3 linked regions of the Schizosaccharomyces pombe genome follow. The protein of the gene in region 1 interacts with the protein of each later gene in a pairwise test. Each region holds a gene or a part of one and is shown in the gene's direction. Other genes may lie near its edges.

Region 1 (5,648 bases):
CAAGTACCTTGGCGATTTCCAAAGTGATTTCTTCAAAAATTTTACAGTTTGAAGACAATTCCGAAACCAGCCTAAGACATGATCTCCCAAAATATGATCAAGATAGGCTGCTTTTAACTTCGGATGATGATTTGACAAATGTAAATAATTTTTGGAAGAAAAGTGGTATGAGTATATTGGATTTTGCTTGTGGAACTGGTTTAATTAGCCAACACCTGTTCCCTTACTGTAAACAAATTGTTGGCATAGACGTTTCCCAAGACATGGTGGACGTTTATAATGAAAAATTTAGAAAGATGAACATTCCCAAAGAAAGAGCCTGTGCATATGTTTTAAGTTTGGATGATTTGGATGGCAACGGCGATGAACCATTTTCTACTGAATTTGATGCTGTTGTATGCTCCATGGCATATCATCATATCAAGGACCTACAGGAAGTGACTAATAAGCTTTCTAAACTTTTAAAACCTAATGGTCGATTATTTGTCGCAGATTTAATAAAGGGGGGTGATACTTTTCATGGTAATTTGCATCCTGATGAAATAGCTAAGCTTGGCGTAGCTCATCATGGTGGATTTACTCCGCAATCAATTTTGAATTTATTCAAAAATGCATCTTTGTCAAACGCTGAAGTCATTGGTAAAGCTCAGGCAAATGTGTGGGTCGATGAAGCTAAGTATCAACGGTCAACCCAGTCAAAAGACGCTAAAACCTTAGATTTAGCTAACGGAGAGAAGCTGTATGAGGTAAAATTACAGCTGATGGTTATTAGTGGTATCAAAACATGATCCCCTTAATTTTTAATTAGGGATAAACAAATGAATGGTCTGGGTACCCGATTTTAGAAGGTGAAGCAATCAGACCAGGAATTGCTTCATTTAAACAAGTATTGATGTCCATTAAATTGATAGCTTATGATAACTTATAACACTGTGAGTCCCGGTGATTCATTTAAACGAAACTACATACTGAGCATTCAGAAAGGACTAAACTTCATTGAAACGACAATTTCGAATATGATCAACCAAATATTATGTGGGATTACAGGCTTTTTTTATACAATACTGGAAATTTCGTTATATGATTTTTCTTCATAAGTTGGTTTCAAAAGAACTGGCCAACTGTTGTCACAAAGATTTTAATATTAAGCGCAAATTTGAATAGACAACGGAAACTAGGCAATCTCTTCCACCAAATGTAAAAAAAAGTTCGACGTTTAAAATTTAACTGTTCAAAATACCCCTTTTAAATAAGTTACTATATGCATTTGAATACTGTAGACACATCTTTTATGATTCTATATAGACAAATATCGTAAGTTTATATTATGTAAATGAATTCGTGATATCGAACGTGTATACTCATTAAATTAGCGCATCTATTTTAACCTTTTATTATTCAAACTGCAGTTATGTTGTTTACCTATAGCATGTGTAGTATAGAGAGGATTTAATTTTGCACATTATGCTTGTTTATGCACTACATTTTGCATCCTTAAACACATGTCCTTTAGATGTCCGCTAACTGTTTACATTCCTATATGTTTAACCGCGATTTTTAAGTATTGGAAAATAAGAATATCTTGTTAAAAAGATTTATAATTATTACTTGCTTCCTTTTCCAGGACTAAAGAATTTCCTGTTTTTGGCACTAAACTTTTCAACAATATCTTCGCATTTCAAAATACAAATGTGGCAGTATTAAATTTATCCTGTTATTTGTTTTGGCTACTCATACAATAGAGAAGAAAATTTTATTGATCAGAGTTTTTTTAATTTCCTGAAAAGCTAGTTTTCTAGGGTTGGGTTGAAAAGTTTCAGTATTCGTGAGAAATTGACTATATCTAACAGGCGGGGGGTTTTTTTTATCATTGACTTTGGAGGTTTAAGATTAAGAGGAAACCAAGTTTAATTAATGCAAGTATGCATGATCCCTTCATTGCAGAAGAAAATGACTTGGACCTGGAAGAAAAGAGGTTACAGAGGCAGCTAAATGAAATTCAAGAAAAGAAGCGTCTACGAAGTGCTCAAAAGGAGGCTTCTTCGGAGAACGCTGAAGTTATTCAGGTTCCAAGATCTCCTCCTCAGCAAGTTCGTGTCCTTACAGTCAGCTCGCCTAGTAAACTAAAAAGTCCCAAGCGATTGATATTAGGAATCGATAAAGGAAAGACGGGGAAAGATGTTTCATTAGGAAAAGGGCCTCGAGGGCCTCTACCAAAACCATTTCACGAACGACTTGCAGAGGCAAGGAACCAAGAAAGGAAGAGGAGCGATAAATTGAAAACGATGAAAAAAAATAGAAAGCAATCGTTCCAGAGGAAGCGAAACATACTTGAAGATGGAAAAAGTGAAGAGGAGAAATTTCCTATGAAATGTGATGAAATCGATCCTTATTCAAGACAAGCCATTGTTATTCGATACATAAGTGATGAGGTTGCTAAGGAAAATATAGGGGGAAATCAAGTTTATCTCATTCACCAACTACTCAAACTAGTAAGAGCTCCTAAATTTGAAGCGCCAGAAGTTGACAACTATGTAGTTATGGGCATTGTTGCCAGTAATAGTGGAACCAGAGAAACTGTGAATGGGAATAAATATTGTATGCTAACACTGACTGACTTGAAATGGCAACTGGAGTGCTTCCTGTTTGGAAAGGCGTTTGAACGATACTGGAAGATCCAGAGTGGTACTGTCATTGCGCTTCTCAATCCTGAAGTACTAAAGCCAAAGAACCCAGACATTGGACGCTTTTCTCTGAAGCTGGATTCTGAGTACGATGTACTTTTAGAGATTGGTCGCTCCAAACACCTTGGCTATTGTTCCAGCCGAAGAAAAAGCGGTGAACTATGTAAACATTGGCTCGACAAGCGTGCCGGAGATGTATGTGAATATCACGTTGACCTCGCTGTCCAGCGGTCCATGTCTACGCGAACGGAGTTTGCTTCAAGTATGGCGACTATGCACGAGCCTCGCGCACGACGTGAAAAGCGATTTCGTGGACAAGGGTTCCAAGGATACTTTGCTGGGGAAAAGTATTCCGCAATTCCTAACGCAGTAGCTGGTTTGTATGATGCAGAAGACGCCGTTCAGACCGAGAGGGAGCGCAAGGAACGATACAAAAAACAACGAGCGCAGGCTGAACGCGAGCGTGAAATTTTGGTGCGATTATCGAAGCGATGTTGCGCTTCCTCTTCGTCTAGCTCTAACTCGAATAACCTCTCTACGGGAATGTCGATGCGAACACTCGGCCATCAGTATCTAAATTTACAAGGTTCCGGCGTTAAAAATTTACATGACAAGGGTAATCCCACTGCTCTTTCTAAAGATAGCGAAATTGATTCATCGACGAAAAAACCATCCGTTCTGGCCTCTTTTAATGCATCTATAATGAACCCTAAATCCTCTCTACCATCTTTTTCTAACTCTGCTATTCTCGGCACTAACGATGCGGCATCAGGGACACCCGTTCCACAAGATACTACATCCACCAAAGTTTCCCCAGCGGTAGTGTTTACCTCTTCGCCGAGGATTTTTTCCCCCCAAAGTCTACGAAAAATAGGTTTCGATCCAACGCATTCCGCAGATGCATCTACAACGCACTCCACAGCGACTGGACTTTCACGATCCGGCTCCCTAAAAAATATCAAATTCCGATATGAATTTACTGAGAGTGATGATGAGGATGACTTAGAAATAGTTCCCTGAATTTTACGTTGTTTTTCTATACATTATGATGAAAATTAATTATTTAAATTACTAACCAACTTACTAATTAATTAGCTAGCTAATGGATATAGCTATGATTTCAAATGAATGTTCTTTTGTTTACATGCGACACACTTTGCTATCATGAAACTTTCAACCCTTTGTTAAACCTTTCTTCTAAATCCTAATCCTTAGTAAATCCCAATGGAATATTTGAAACGCTTATTAAACACAGTCGCTCTTTTCATTTGTGATGTCAACTGTTTGAATTCAATGTGCGAAGTCTCCCTTTTTTGTTCTGCTAGCTTCTCTCTCATACAAGAACGGCCGTTACAGCTTTTGACATCACATTGTTTATTAATCAAACGAACGTAAGCTTACTTTCATATGGTATGATGGGCTTGTAAGCAATACTAAGATAGCCAGCCAAACTGAGGTACTGTCGACACCTTTAGCTTACGATTGCTTTCGTCTAGGTATCGGACTTTACACTGCTAGTCGCCTATTTTAACGTTGCGCCGTATGGAACGGGTATCGCATTCTTATCAGTAAGGAAAGCTATCTGAATTCGTCACAAAGGAAAAGGCAAATAAATAGTCTAAAACTATATAAATGCGGGCTTCCATCTAAGAGACCTCGCCATCCAACAATTGTTGCGTCCCACCTAAACAGTGTCTAATCAAAGTCAATTGCGAGACATTCTAAAGTAAAAAGTTAATACATTTTAGCTACTACTAAATACTTCTTTTGATATTCTTTTTAGTGAACAATAAAGAATATTGGTTTGATCAACACGGTCATCTTCAGAAAAAAAATTTTTTATTCGTTGGTTTAATTAGTTAAGAAAATTTTTTTTTTCTTTCTTCGCTGACGTCTCGATAATTAAATCTGCGAACGGTGATACTTCTATTCTACACATTTCTATTTAATCACTGTTATTTTCTTTTCTTTTTAATTTCATCAATAAACATTTTTGATTCATCGCTATGTTTTCTATTCTTAAACAAGGTGTCATCTCCAAGTCTCTTTTAGCCGCTACCTCTTTAAAGGCAACGGCTTCAAGATTTTCCTTCTCTACTAGTGTTGCTTCCCGTGTTGACGGTACTAAGAATGGTTGGTCTTTTACCGCATCCAATGTTGCTGATCAAACCACCGATATCGGCATTAACTCTGAGTCGGCTATGAGCTGTAACGACCAAGAGCAACCTCTTTCCTTTTACGTTCAAACTGTCAGAGATGACTTGAACTCTCCTAATTGGGGAGCTGAGCAAAGAAAGGGTGCATTTGATTGGGAAGTAAGCGCTTAAACCCGAATATTGTATACAAGAAGAAAACCCGATTTCCGTTATGATCAGAAGAAAATAATAAAAAGGGAAAACAAAAAATTGGAAAATTGAATGTTTTATCTTATTCGATAAAAGCATTAAACAATCTAACAATGCAATCTTTTTTAATTCGTTATTTTCGCTTTTCTTTTTTTTTTACTCTTCTTGATGTAATTGTTAAGACATGGATTTTATTTTTATTTTTCTAAGGAATTTCGATTATTGGAATTCTTTTACCACCCCCATCCCTCTTTTTATTACCAGTTTCAACACATTGGTTCCCCTGCTTTAGAATGTTTATCGATATAAGCCGTGAACGGTTCCTTGCTTTTACCATTTTTAAATGAGGCAAGACATATGTATTATTAGTTTATACCCCCAAGACTTGTTAGTCTTTATATTATTAGTTTGTCTACTTGTTGACTATAATGATAGTCGCTGATAAAGTTGAAGTTTCCACCTTAATCTTTGTTATTTTATATCCAATTCGCCATGGTCACATTGATTTGATTGAATTTTCGGTTGCTGGATTACAAAAAAGAAATGCCAAATGCGATACAACTGTTACATTTAGATTCAGAATAGGAAATTGTTTGTATAATTAAAAAATAGAAATTGT
Region 2 (5,646 bases), 420 kb from region 1:
GTTCCGGACAAACCACCTCCCCCTGGATATATTTGTTATAGATGCGGTCAGAAAGGACACTGGATTCAAGCATGCCCTACCAACGCTGATCCTAATTACGATGGAAAACCAAGGGTAAAACGAACTACCGGAATACCTCGATCTTTTTTGAAAAACGTTGAAAGGCCTGCTGAAGGCGACGCTGCTAATATTATGATAAATGCTGAAGGAGATTATGTTGTAGTACAACCAGACGTAGCGTCTTGGGAAACATATCAATCTCGTAAAGCAGCTTTAACTGCGAATGACGTGTATAAAATGCAGCCTCCGAACATTTCTTTGGCATGTACATTATGTAAGAAATTAGCAAGAAATGCTTGCAGAACACCTTGTTGTGATAAACTTTTTTGTGAAGAGTGTATTCAAACGGCTCTTTTAGATTCGGATTTTGAATGTCCAAATTGCCATCGAAAAGATGTTTTGTTGGATACTTTAAACCCCGATTACCAAAAACAGAGGGAAATTGAGGCAGTCGTCAAATCTGTACTCGGTTCTAATAGCAAAAACAGTGATAAGGTTGGTACTTCTGACGATAACAATACACCAATGTCTGAAAAGCGCAAGCGTGAAGATGACGATGCAAATGGACCTAACAAATTTGCGGCAAGATCTTCTGCTGTGTTTTCCAAAGCCACCGCTGAACCAGCTTTTAAGTCAGCTATGGCCATCCCAGATATGCCATCAATGCCTCATGTCCAAGGGTTTCCGGCTCCTTTTCCCCCTTTTATGATGCCAGGCTTACCTCAAATGCCGCCTATGATGATGAATGCAATTGCTGGCCAAGTATATCATAATAATCGAAATCCACCTCGTACAAACTCTCGTCCTTCAAATGCGTCTGTTCCCCCACCATCCTCGCTACATAAGAATCCCCCTACTAAAACAAATTAGTTATTACTTATTTCTGATTTTCTTGTAAACTTGCGTTTACTGTTTACGTTGTTGAAAGTCCTTTTTTCAGCTATAATAGGGACAGTTACACATATTCATTCAAAAATTTTTATACTAATACATTCAATTAATACAATCTAATTTATGGAGCGTTTTTTTAATATGAGAGTAAATTCATATCTATTGACTTTTGAATTACTTCGAAGTGGATTTAAAAGTATTTAGTATCATATTTACATCAAAAAATGGATTGCTAACGGATTTGATGCTCAGCAAATTACTGCTGACGCTGATCAGGTGCCTTAACAAAAATTGTAATCTAAGAAATTAAAAATACTCAGAAAGTCATATTATATAAATCAGTAGTAATGTATTTTTTTTTATTTATTTGCAATATTGCAATAAATTTTTCAAAAAGCTTGTAGTAATAATAATAGAGAACAAACAATTCTTAGACTAAAGTTTCCGAGTAGAAGGATCAAGGATTCAGTACTCCTTAATTTTACAAAAGAATATTTATAAAAATAAGCTAATTTTCTAAATCAATTGACATTACAATTCGCCGATCAAATGTTTTATCAGAGAATATTATAAAATCAAAATATTTAGCTAAGCGAAATTTAAATGTATTTTCAATGCTAACAACACGTATTCAGATAATCTATTTATAGGCTTCTCGAAATGTTCCTATTATATAAAACAGCTTAGTTTACCTAAGTTTTACTTTATTTATTAACACATAATTTCAGCTTTCGTAAAGGAATTAATTATACTCAACATTTTGTTAGACATACTATAGTACGCTATGATACAGTACGTAGAGAATCACTATATATCATGTGTCCTAATTATTCATCGTACCACGTATGATACGATATTGAAATTGATTTTAATGATAGTCTATTAAGACCTATATCATTTAAATACTATTAATAGAGTTACTGATAAACTTCGTTCGTCAGTTCAGTTATAAGCTATGTTAGTGATAGTAACGCTATAAGTTGGATAGTATAATATCTATACTTAGTTGCTACTTATATTACCTTTATATCGCAATTTAATAGATCGCAAGAAAACCTCACCGCAATTCAGCGTATCGTTAATATGGATATTAAACTGCGTAGCTGACACAGTTTATGATTTTATAGTAGTGCGTTAAAATATTTTAATGAACCAGATTGAGAAGTTAGCATTTAGCATTTTGATATTAGACAAACAGTGAATAAAGGGTACACCATAGCTATCATCTACAGTAGTCCTTTGAAACTTTTTCACTTGAATCCAAAAAATTATTGATTACATCCTATGTTGATTAGAAAACCATATACATTGATCTGTCCTTGATACAGTGAGTGGGCACTAAACGATTCTATAAAATCAAAAAGCGAAGGGTTTGCATTAATATATTTCTTAAAATAGAATGAACAATTCCATTACGGATTCGGTAGAAAAAAAACCTGAACAGGTTAGTTTTGAAGTTCAACCCAATGCCCTTCGTCCGGTTGCTTTCCACGTATTTACCAGGAAGTACGATCTCAATATTAATCGTGACTCACTGCAGGAATTAGCATCTTTCGTATCTAAAAAATGCGGCTCACAATGGCGTTCCCAATGTGAGCCCTTACTAGACGAAATTGCAAAAACTTGGAAACGAGTTCATGAAACTCAACCTATAGTTACTCGACCTCTTTTGATCCCTGTCTTGGCAAATTTAAATGTTCCGCATGAAGTTCGCGTATCTTCCTTAGCAAGAGTTCAAACGCTTGAGACAACCGGTTCATTTTTAAATTCGAGTAATTCGGAAATCCGTGAAACTATAAAAAATGAGAAATACTTTAGAGTCCTTGATGCTTTTAAAATGCCTAAATTTAAGTACGATTCATCAAGAAAGGTTTTCGTTTTATCAAAACAGTCTCCTACTTTAATGGCATCTGCAAGTGCCTGCACAGATATGCTTAACCGCAGATTCAATGTTGTATATAGCCGTATTTTACGCAATGAATCTTTTCAAACACCTTCTTTCAGTGGCTCTTTCTCTCAAACAGGTACATATCAATTAACTCCTATTCGCAATTTATTAGGTCGAGCTGGAAACACATTTTTGTTGTTCGGACTCTTGACTATAGCTCCCGATGGTACCTTATGGCTGGAAGATCTTGACAGTCAAGTTCAACTAGACGTATCACAGGCAGAACAAGGGTTCGGTCTCTTTTGCCCTGGCTGCTTGGTACTTGTTAATGGTCAATTTCTAAGTTCTGGGCTATTTTTAGTTTTTGAGCTTGGTCATCCTCCCATTGAACGCCGTGATGCTTCCTTGAAGGCCCTTAATAATTTAGATATTTTGGGGTTGAATATGGATGCAAAGCAACTTGCTCTTCTCCGTCACGCGGAACAGGCATATCAGTCACAAGCTTTTGTTTGTATCAGCGAGGTTCATCTTGACAACCATCAAACTTTCTATGCATTAGAAAAAATATTCCAAAAATATGAATCCTCTGAAGCTGTGCCGTTTTGTATAATATTATGTGGAAGTTTTATGTCTTCCGCTTTCCATAATTCAGGAAGCTCAATTCAATATAAAGAAGGATTTAATAAGCTTGCAGCTTCTCTTGAGAAGTTTCCAAAAATTTGCGAAAAGACAAAATTCATATTTGTCCCCGGTCCAAACGACCCTTGGACGACAAATGGGATATCCTTAATGCCTAAGCATTCAATACCCCTTCATTTCGTAAATCGGATCCAACGCGTTTGTAAGCATACCATTTTCGCTTCAAACCCTTGCCGCATCATTTTCTTTTCTCAGGAAGTACTAATTTATAGAGACGATATATCAGGAAGATTTCAAAGGAATTCATTAAAGTTTGGGAAGACTCCCCAAGGTACCTCCAATATTAATTCTATACCCCTTGCAGAACAACAAGTGCATCAGCAAAGAAAAGTAAGCAAGTTTCTTATAATTTTTTTATGCTAATTTGTTTAGTTGGTTAAAACAGTTTTAGATCAGTCTCACCTTTCACCGTTTCCATCGAGAACACGACCAATATTGTGGGATTTTGATTATGCTTTATCAGTTTTCCCGCTTCCTAGCTGTGTACGTTATAAATCTTTTTTTTCTTTGCTAATATTTTTAGATGGGTCTAATAGATTCTGAGTCGTCGGCGTTTGATGTTCATTATGGAGGTTGCCCAACTTTTAATCCCGGTGCTCTTTTACTTGGCGTTCACTATAATTGGCAAGAAGTATTTCCAGTAAAAAAAGAAATAATTACACACAAGGAGAGAATTTAGGACTCAAATCTTTTCCTCATGTAACTGTATAATAATTGCTTAAAAAAGGCATTTCATTCATTAACATGTTAACGATTTTTAAGTTTGTTACATTTTACTGAGCCCCGAATAATAGAACGTTTATGTTAATTAAAAGATAAATCCAAGTAAGATTTCTCGTAAATTAGTAAACATTAATCAAATTAAACTATAAAATTAAGATTAAGGGTTAGTAGGAATAATTAAAAAAATATAGAAAACTCCCTACTAGAAAACAACATTTGTAAAATTCAATATCACTGCTGCGTACAACAACTTCCATGGAGGCAATCAATAGGTGCTATTAGCCTTTAAAAGAGTTGACCGAGTACACAGCATCAAAATACAGAACAACAGTTAATTTTTCCAAAAGGAGCACATAAACGATAAGGCATTAACATAATTCAAAAGGGCATAATAACAAAAGGTTAGCAAACGCTTTACAAGGCCTGACTTCATAATCAAAGAGCCGTATAAGTTGTATCTCACTTCTTATAACAACGGTTGGACTGCATAATGAAAATATACCAGAGATAGCACAACAAAACAAGCAAAGAAAAATGAAATCCATAATCTTTTATGGAGCAAGTTTCTAAGCATTTTCGTAGTAACATCACCACTTTCCTGACCAGACCTTCTACTTGTTCGAAAGGGCTCCTGAGAAGTGGAGGATAATTTTTTGTTAAGTAACGGTGACTTTGAGGTTGTAGGATTGATTTGCAAAGGCGATGTTGCCAAACCTCTAGCAGTGGTAGGACTATTACATCTAGTGTCACTACTTCCAACCATGCTGGAAAATTTTGCAGACCGTTTGGGAATCAACTTGCGACTATTACTAAGTGGGCCTCCGTTGAGCGCGTTAGTGCCTGCCGATCCATAATAAGGCACATGATTTATAGTTGGCAGCATTTCTAAGGGAAGGTTGTATGTTTGAAAAGAGTGAATGGATGCTGAAGGAGAATGTAATTCATCATCATTGGTAGGGATTAGGTTTTCGTAAACAAAATTTTCTGATTCTTCATCGTTTGGATCCTGATCAACGGCAGAGGCCACTCTTGCTGCAAACATAGCTGCTTTGGAAGTCATTACTAAAATGCATGTTAATATAATGATTGAAATAGACAAATTGTGTCCTCAAAAGCTAGCAGCTGCTAGATGCATACCATTGGGCAAACTAATTTTTTTCTTCTTTTGAGCATTTTTTTTTGTTTTAAGGGTTTCTAGAGACGCTTTTCTATCGCAACTGCTCGGAATCTGCACTTGAGACACATTCAAGACCGTCTCAGTCTCAACAGACATTTGCATAGGCTTGGGCTCCGACATATCCTCCTGATTAGCAGAATTTACGTATTTTCGAAGTTAGCTTATGAAAATATTTTGATTTTCGATATTTCCATTCCTATGTATATGT
Region 3 (6,154 bases), 200 kb from region 1:
AAAACAACGGGTAAAATATCATCAATTACTACCCCTTGAACGTCATTTGAACTGCAATATTCACCACGAACGTCTCTGAACATTTCAGATAATGTTGGAAGAAACTCAACATTTTCAAGTAACATCACCATCTCTAGCATTTTTACCAAATCGAAAATCTGATGAAACGAAGCTAATTGAAATATTATTTTTTCTGATACCAGAGTGAACATTTCATCTGCTAATTTTGTCACTGAAGATTTCGTTAAAGGCAAAGGCATTTCATATACCAGTCTGTAGAAACATCTAAGAATTTCACAGAAAGCGTCTGTGAAACATTTTTTTGCATTGAGCATACACGTTCGTATTGAAACTAAGCAATTAACGATGTCTTGGGTCAAAAAAGGGACATTATTGCTACAAGATACAAAATCTTTAGTATCACCGCATAAAAACGAACATTTGAAGCTGTCATCGCCGGAATCATTTACCAAATACTGCACTAATTCGTCAAGCCAAGTCTTCTGAAAAGCACATTCACACTCTAAAACCAGCTTTTTAAAATTCAAATGAGTAGAGCCCATATACATATTATGCAGCTTTTGAAACGTAGAAGCTACACTCAAGCATTGAGAAATATTACCTTGAAGTACTAGCAGACTAGATAAAGTTTCTTTCCAATCTGCTAAATGCGCTTCTAATTGCGCCAAGGATACGAATTTTCCGGAACCTACAAAATAAGGATCGCTGGATATAATCATCCGCTCTAAATTAGCTAGACTTTCATCATAAAGAAATAATTTTTTCGAAAGCAGAAGTCTAAGAGCTTTAAGAAGAAACTGGTTTTGCTGAATCAAATCTTCATCAAAAATTTCAATATATCGTTCTATCCTTTTCCTTTTACTTGCCAAAGATACTATGTCATTAATTAATTCTCGTTCACCAGGGTGTAATGGTTGAACAGATGGATGCAGTAGTATTTGACCATTTTTCTCAATAAACAGGCCAGAAGTATTCCCTGCGAGCAACAAAATAATCTCATGCAACATATAATGTATTTATTGTTACAGAGTTTGCATGAAAATATTCAACATATAGCCAATTTAAGTAAACTACTCCAAAGGAGGCTTTCGTAGTAAATGAGATAAATAGCTAAAACTTATTCGTGTTACTTTGAAGGTAACGACTAGGGAATGTCTTGCGTTGTTACAATGAACAATAATCAATGTAGCATTGCATATAATTCAATTAATATATATATATATATATATATATATATATTATTTTGTAATAACCTAGTAGGTACTGTTTATCTTAAACAAACAAAGTCTCAGACGAGCGAAGGTTTAACGACATTAATTTTGGGCAACAGGTAAACACAACACTTTAAAATTGATTAGAAGGGGGAGGTGGTCCACATGGCATGATCATTTTTTCTAATAGGTTTTTGCGAACTTGGACTCTCGGTTCGCCGAGCGCCGTTGCCATATATGCGAGCAACGGTGGATGCCCCACTACAGAAGACAAAGTATCCCGGTGCTGATTTACCATCCATTCACTAGTTTATATGGTGAGCGAAAATTCATTTGTCAAATAAACCGATTAGTACTTACTATTTGGTGGTAAACGCATTACCGACACCAACATAACGCGCTTGTAACTGTTCTAGTTTTGCTTGAGAGCGCAACCTGTCTGCCTACAATCGTTAATAAATGAAAGAAGCATAGAATAGAGATAATTCAAGAATTTTTTTCTTACCATAGTATATATTGGAATATGTGGTATAATGTTCAGACTGGGTTTTTTTAACACATATTGTTAATTGAAACGAATAAGGTATAATACTGTAATTTGCAATTCTAAATTGCGATTTCTAGCGCACCAAAGCAACCACAGAAATAAACGTTTCAAAATAAACATTGCTATCCTTTGACCAAAAACCTGTAGTTGCAGTTTTTTGATAATAGGGAGCACTACACTTGAAGATGTCTTCTCTTGCATCTCAGGGTAATAATGCTTCAACTCCTGCATATCGTTATGGGTTTCAAACTTCAGAAGTTGGGGACAGGCCAACTGTAAGTATGCCTTCACAACCTGAGTCGAGTGCTATGCTCGAGGATGATGGAATGGTGAAAAGGAAACCTTTTGCTGCTATAGGAGAAGCCATACCAAAGGTAATTGATACAACCGGAGAATCAGTACGTGAAGCCTTTGAAGAGTTTTTATTGTCATTTTCTGATGACCGCGTTGCTGGAGGTGATGCTCTCCCTTCTGCATCACAAGAGAAATATTATGTTCAACAGATTCATGGATTGGCAATGTATGAGATTCATACCGTTTACGTTGATTATAAGCATTTAACCTCGTACAATGATGTGTTAGCTCTTGCGATAGTTGAGCAATATTATCGATTTTCTCCTTTCTTACTTCGAGCTTTACAAAAGTTGATTGAAAAGTTTGAACCAGAATATTATAGAAGTTCTCTTTCTCGTGAAAATGCTTCACTTTCACCGAACTTTAAAGCCAGTGACAAAACATTTGCTCTTGCATTTTACAATTTACCCTTTCGATCCACAATTCGGGACTTACGAACAGATCGTATCGGTAGACTCACGACTATTACAGGTACAGTTACTCGTACTTCTGAAGTACGCCCTGAATTAGCACAAGGTACTTTTATCTGTGAGGAATGCCACACTGTAGTTTCAAATGTTGAGCAAGCATTTCGCTATACTGAACCAACTCAATGCCCTAATGAACTTTGTGCTAATAAAAGAAGTTGGCGGCTCAATATTTCACAGTCTTCTTTTCAGGACTGGCAAAAGGTGCGCATTCAAGAAAATAGCAACGAGATTCCTACGGGTTCTATGCCACGAACTTTGGACGTAATTTTGCGCGGAGATATTGTTGAAAGGGCTAAGGCTGGTGACAAATGCGCATTTACGGGAATTCTTATTGCCGTTCCAGATGTCTCACAGCTAGGAATTCCTGGTGTAAAGCCAGAAGCTTATCGAGATTCTCGCAATTTTGGTGGTAGAGATGCAGATGGTGTGACAGGACTGAAGTCTTTAGGTGTACGTGATCTTACATATAAACTATCTTTTTTAGCTTGCATGGTTCAACCAGATGATGCAAATGATAAAAGCGGTGCGGATGTCAGAGGGGATGGTTCTCAAGGGATCGAAGAGCAAGATGAATTTTTGCAATCGCTTTCTCAAGAAGAAATTGATGATTTACGTGCGATGGTGCATTCAGATCATATTTATTCTCGTTTGACAAACTCACTGGCTCCCTCTGTTTATGGTCATGAAATAATTAAGAAGGGGATTCTTTTACAGTTAATGGGTGGTGTTCACAAGTTAACTCCTGAAGGTATAAATCTTCGTGGCGACCTGAACATTTGTATTGTCGGCGACCCCAGTACTTCGAAATCACAATTTCTTAAATACGTTTGCAATTTTCTTCCTCGTGCAATCTACACTTCTGGAAAGGCATCATCTGCGGCCGGTCTCACAGCTGCAGTTGTTAAGGACGAAGAAACTGGGGATTTTACTATAGAAGCAGGCGCTTTAATGTTGGCTGACAATGGAATATGTGCTATAGATGAATTCGATAAAATGGATCTGTCAGACCAAGTTGCTATTCATGAAGCAATGGAACAACAAACGATATCTATAGCAAAAGCTGGAATTCAAGCTACATTAAACGCACGGACATCTATCCTTGCTGCTGCAAATCCAATAGGTGGCCGCTATAACCGAAAAACAACTTTGCGGAATAACATCAATATGTCTGCTCCTATCATGTCACGGTTTGATTTATTCTTCGTTGTACTAGATGAGTGCAATGAATCAGTTGATAGACATTTAGCTAAGCATATTGTTGACATTCATCGTTTACGGGATGATGCCATGCAACCTGAATTTAGTACTGAGCAACTTCAACGATATATCAGATATGCAAGGACTTTCAAACCAAAGTTAAATACAGAATCTTGTGCCGAAATTGTTAAAAAGTACAAGCAATTGCGGATGGATGACGCGCAAGGTGCTGGTAAAAATTCATATCGTATTACCGTGCGACAACTGGAGTCAATGATTCGTCTATCAGAAGCCATTGCAAGAGCAAACTGTGTAGATGATATTACTCCTGCATTTGTCAACGAAGCATACTCTTTATTACGTCAATCAATTATCCATGTGGAAAGAGATGATATTGAGGTTGAAGAAGATGATGCAGAGGCCCAAGAACTTGAGAATGATAATACTAATACAACAAATGGCAATGATAATGTTTCTTCGGAAGAAGCTTTGCAGAAACCAAAAGTAAAAATTACTTACGACAAATATGTTTCGATTATGAACGGAATATTACAGGTTTTACGCCAGCGCTCTACTGAAGGTGTAGATGGAGTACCAGCGGGAGACCTAGTTCAGTCATATCTCGAGCTTAGGGAAGACCAATTCCATACCGAGGAAGACATCATCTATGAGGTTGGTCTTGTGCGTAAGGTATTAACCAGGCTTGTTCACGAATCGATCATCATGGAAATTCAAAATTTAACTGACAGCGCCGTGAGGCTTCCTTTTGAAGAACGCGTATTTTCAATACACCCTAACTGTGACATTGATGCTCTACTGAGCAATGGCGATGTTCCGAACTAAGGTTATAAAAGATTCGTAACGATCTCTTATAAGTTTTATCAGTGAGGCGTATTTTTGAAACAGACCTGACATTAATTGTTGAAGCACTACTTTAATTCACGAAATTGGTGTATTTTTTTTTTCCTCACTGCATACCGTAGAAACCCTGATTTGTTATTTTAATCTTTACACTCTTTTTTTGTACTTTTATTCACTAAATTTGATAATACTATTGGATCCTACCGAAAAATATATACTCATTTTCCTGATCTAGACATTTATCAGATTAATCTATGTTTATTTCAAACATATAACCCAGGTAAATTAGTATAGTGATACGTTAAGCAATGTTAATATGTTGAAGCATATCTGCTGAAATCCGTTCAACACCAAAGGAAGGGTGAGACTGTTCAGGACTAAACCTCTACGCTATTTACAATAGTAAACACCTCAAGTTACTTTTTATAAAGACTCTTGATTAGTAGCTACAGAAGGGCTATGGAAGTGCCTCGCGCATCTCCTAACCAAGAGCCGTTATGTTCGATTTCACCGTCCTCCTTGGTGATCAATGAAATTATAACTGTCGTGACGGCAATTAGAAAAACCACGAGATGGAGGAATTCTGGTGTTGCATCCATTTTAGGAGTCTCAACACTTAAAGACGAATTTCTGGCTGATGGTTTAGAAAGCCGATGGAAAACAAATGGCGAAAAAAGCAGTAGTATCCGATATCCATTGGTTATGGAGTTTTCACAGTTAAAAGAAGATTTGACGAACCGTGCTAGCTTAAATGGATACGATAGTTTAAAGCTTCTCTCTCCGTTTTTGAGGACAATCAAGTCCCCACGAATGACAGGTTATATAACTAGCTTATGTTTATCAGCTATACTCAAATTCTTTTCTTTTCGAATCATTTCTGAAGAATCACCCAATTTAGCACTGTCAATGCGTAATCTATCGTTTGCTATTACTCAATGCCGTTTTGAGAGCTTCGATGCTTCACAGGATGAGGCTGTATTGTTGCGAGTTTCTAGGCTAATGGAAGAATTGTTAAGAGGTCCTGGAAAAGCTGTTTTGAGTGATGATTCTATTTGCGAAATTGTTGAAACAGGGCTCAGTATGTGTTGCCAGTCTAGGCTTTCCCAAGTTTTACGCTATAGTGCTGAATTATCGATGACATCTATCCTTGAAAAGATATTTGAACGCTTGAAGTACATTGATGTGAAAACGGATAGTGAAGATTTTTGGGACGCATCCGAAGAACACTCTATCAAAGGAGAGGAGTTCCATTACAAAAAAATCACCGAAGGCGATGAGATTTCAAATGAAATCGATCCCTTCGGTATTGGTTCTATTCGCGAAGTTTTTCGTGTACTAGTTTCCTTTATTGACTTTGGCAAGCAAAAGTTTTCTGATAATATTAAAGCCATGGCATTGAGATTTATAAACACAGCCTTAGAGGTCTCTGGTTCACATATTAGCGATTTTCCTTCGCTTCGAGTACTCATCACTGATACTTTATGCAAATCACT

What was found.
Region 2: the proteins of cdc23 (region 1) and dpb2 interact in a two-hybrid assay, tested with the Schizosaccharomyces pombe proteins (2 studies listed by BioGRID).
Region 3: the proteins of cdc23 (region 1) and mcm6 interact in a two-hybrid assay, tested with the Schizosaccharomyces pombe proteins (4 studies listed by BioGRID, with this or other methods).

The regions. Positions count from the first base shown.
Region 1 is NC_003423.3:4,077,517-4,083,164, forward strand, and holds cdc23 (MCM-associated protein Mcm10), read left to right. Parts: upstream 1-1,540; 5' UTR 1,541-1,922; coding exon 1,923-3,704; 3' UTR 3,705-4,048; downstream 4,049-5,648. Other genes in the region: SPOM_SPBC1347.09 (hexaprenyldihydroxybenzoate methyltransferase), read left to right, coding at 1-788; protein sro1, read left to right, coding at 4,691-5,011; SPOM_SPBC1347.14C (uncharacterized protein), read right to left, coding at 4,763-5,128. UniProt on the Schizosaccharomyces pombe protein: Required for DNA synthesis. Required for entry into or completion of S phase. Involved in DNA replication and seems to participate in the activation of the pre-replication complex (pre-RC) and in transcription elongation.
Region 2 is NC_003423.3:3,655,457-3,661,102, reverse strand, and holds dpb2 (DNA polymerase epsilon catalytic subunit B Dpb2), read left to right. Parts: upstream 1-2,172; 5' UTR 2,173-2,350; coding exon 2,351-3,868; intron 3,869-3,910; coding exon 3,911-4,021; intron 4,022-4,061; coding exon 4,062-4,217; 3' UTR 4,218-4,355; downstream 4,356-5,646. Other genes in the region: mpe1 (RBBP6 family ubiquitin-protein ligase E3), read left to right, coding at 1-930; protein vac7, read right to left, coding at 4,728-5,323, 5,399-5,558. UniProt on the Schizosaccharomyces pombe protein: As accessory component of the DNA polymerase epsilon (DNA polymerase II) participates in chromosomal DNA replication.
Region 3 is NC_003423.3:3,878,807-3,884,960, reverse strand, and holds mcm6 (MCM complex subunit Mcm6), read left to right. Parts: upstream 1-1,903; 5' UTR 1,904-1,964; coding exon 1,965-4,643; 3' UTR 4,644-4,863; downstream 4,864-6,154. Other genes in the region: gamma tubulin complex GCP4 subunit Gfh1, read right to left, coding at 1-1,028; sap10 (splicing factor 3B), read right to left, coding at 1,366-1,537, 1,593-1,675, 1,738-1,740; gea1 (guanyl-nucleotide exchange factor), read left to right, coding at 5,121-6,154. UniProt on the Schizosaccharomyces pombe protein: Acts as a component of the mcm2-7 complex (mcm complex) which is the putative replicative helicase essential for 'once per cell cycle' DNA replication initiation and elongation in eukaryotic cells.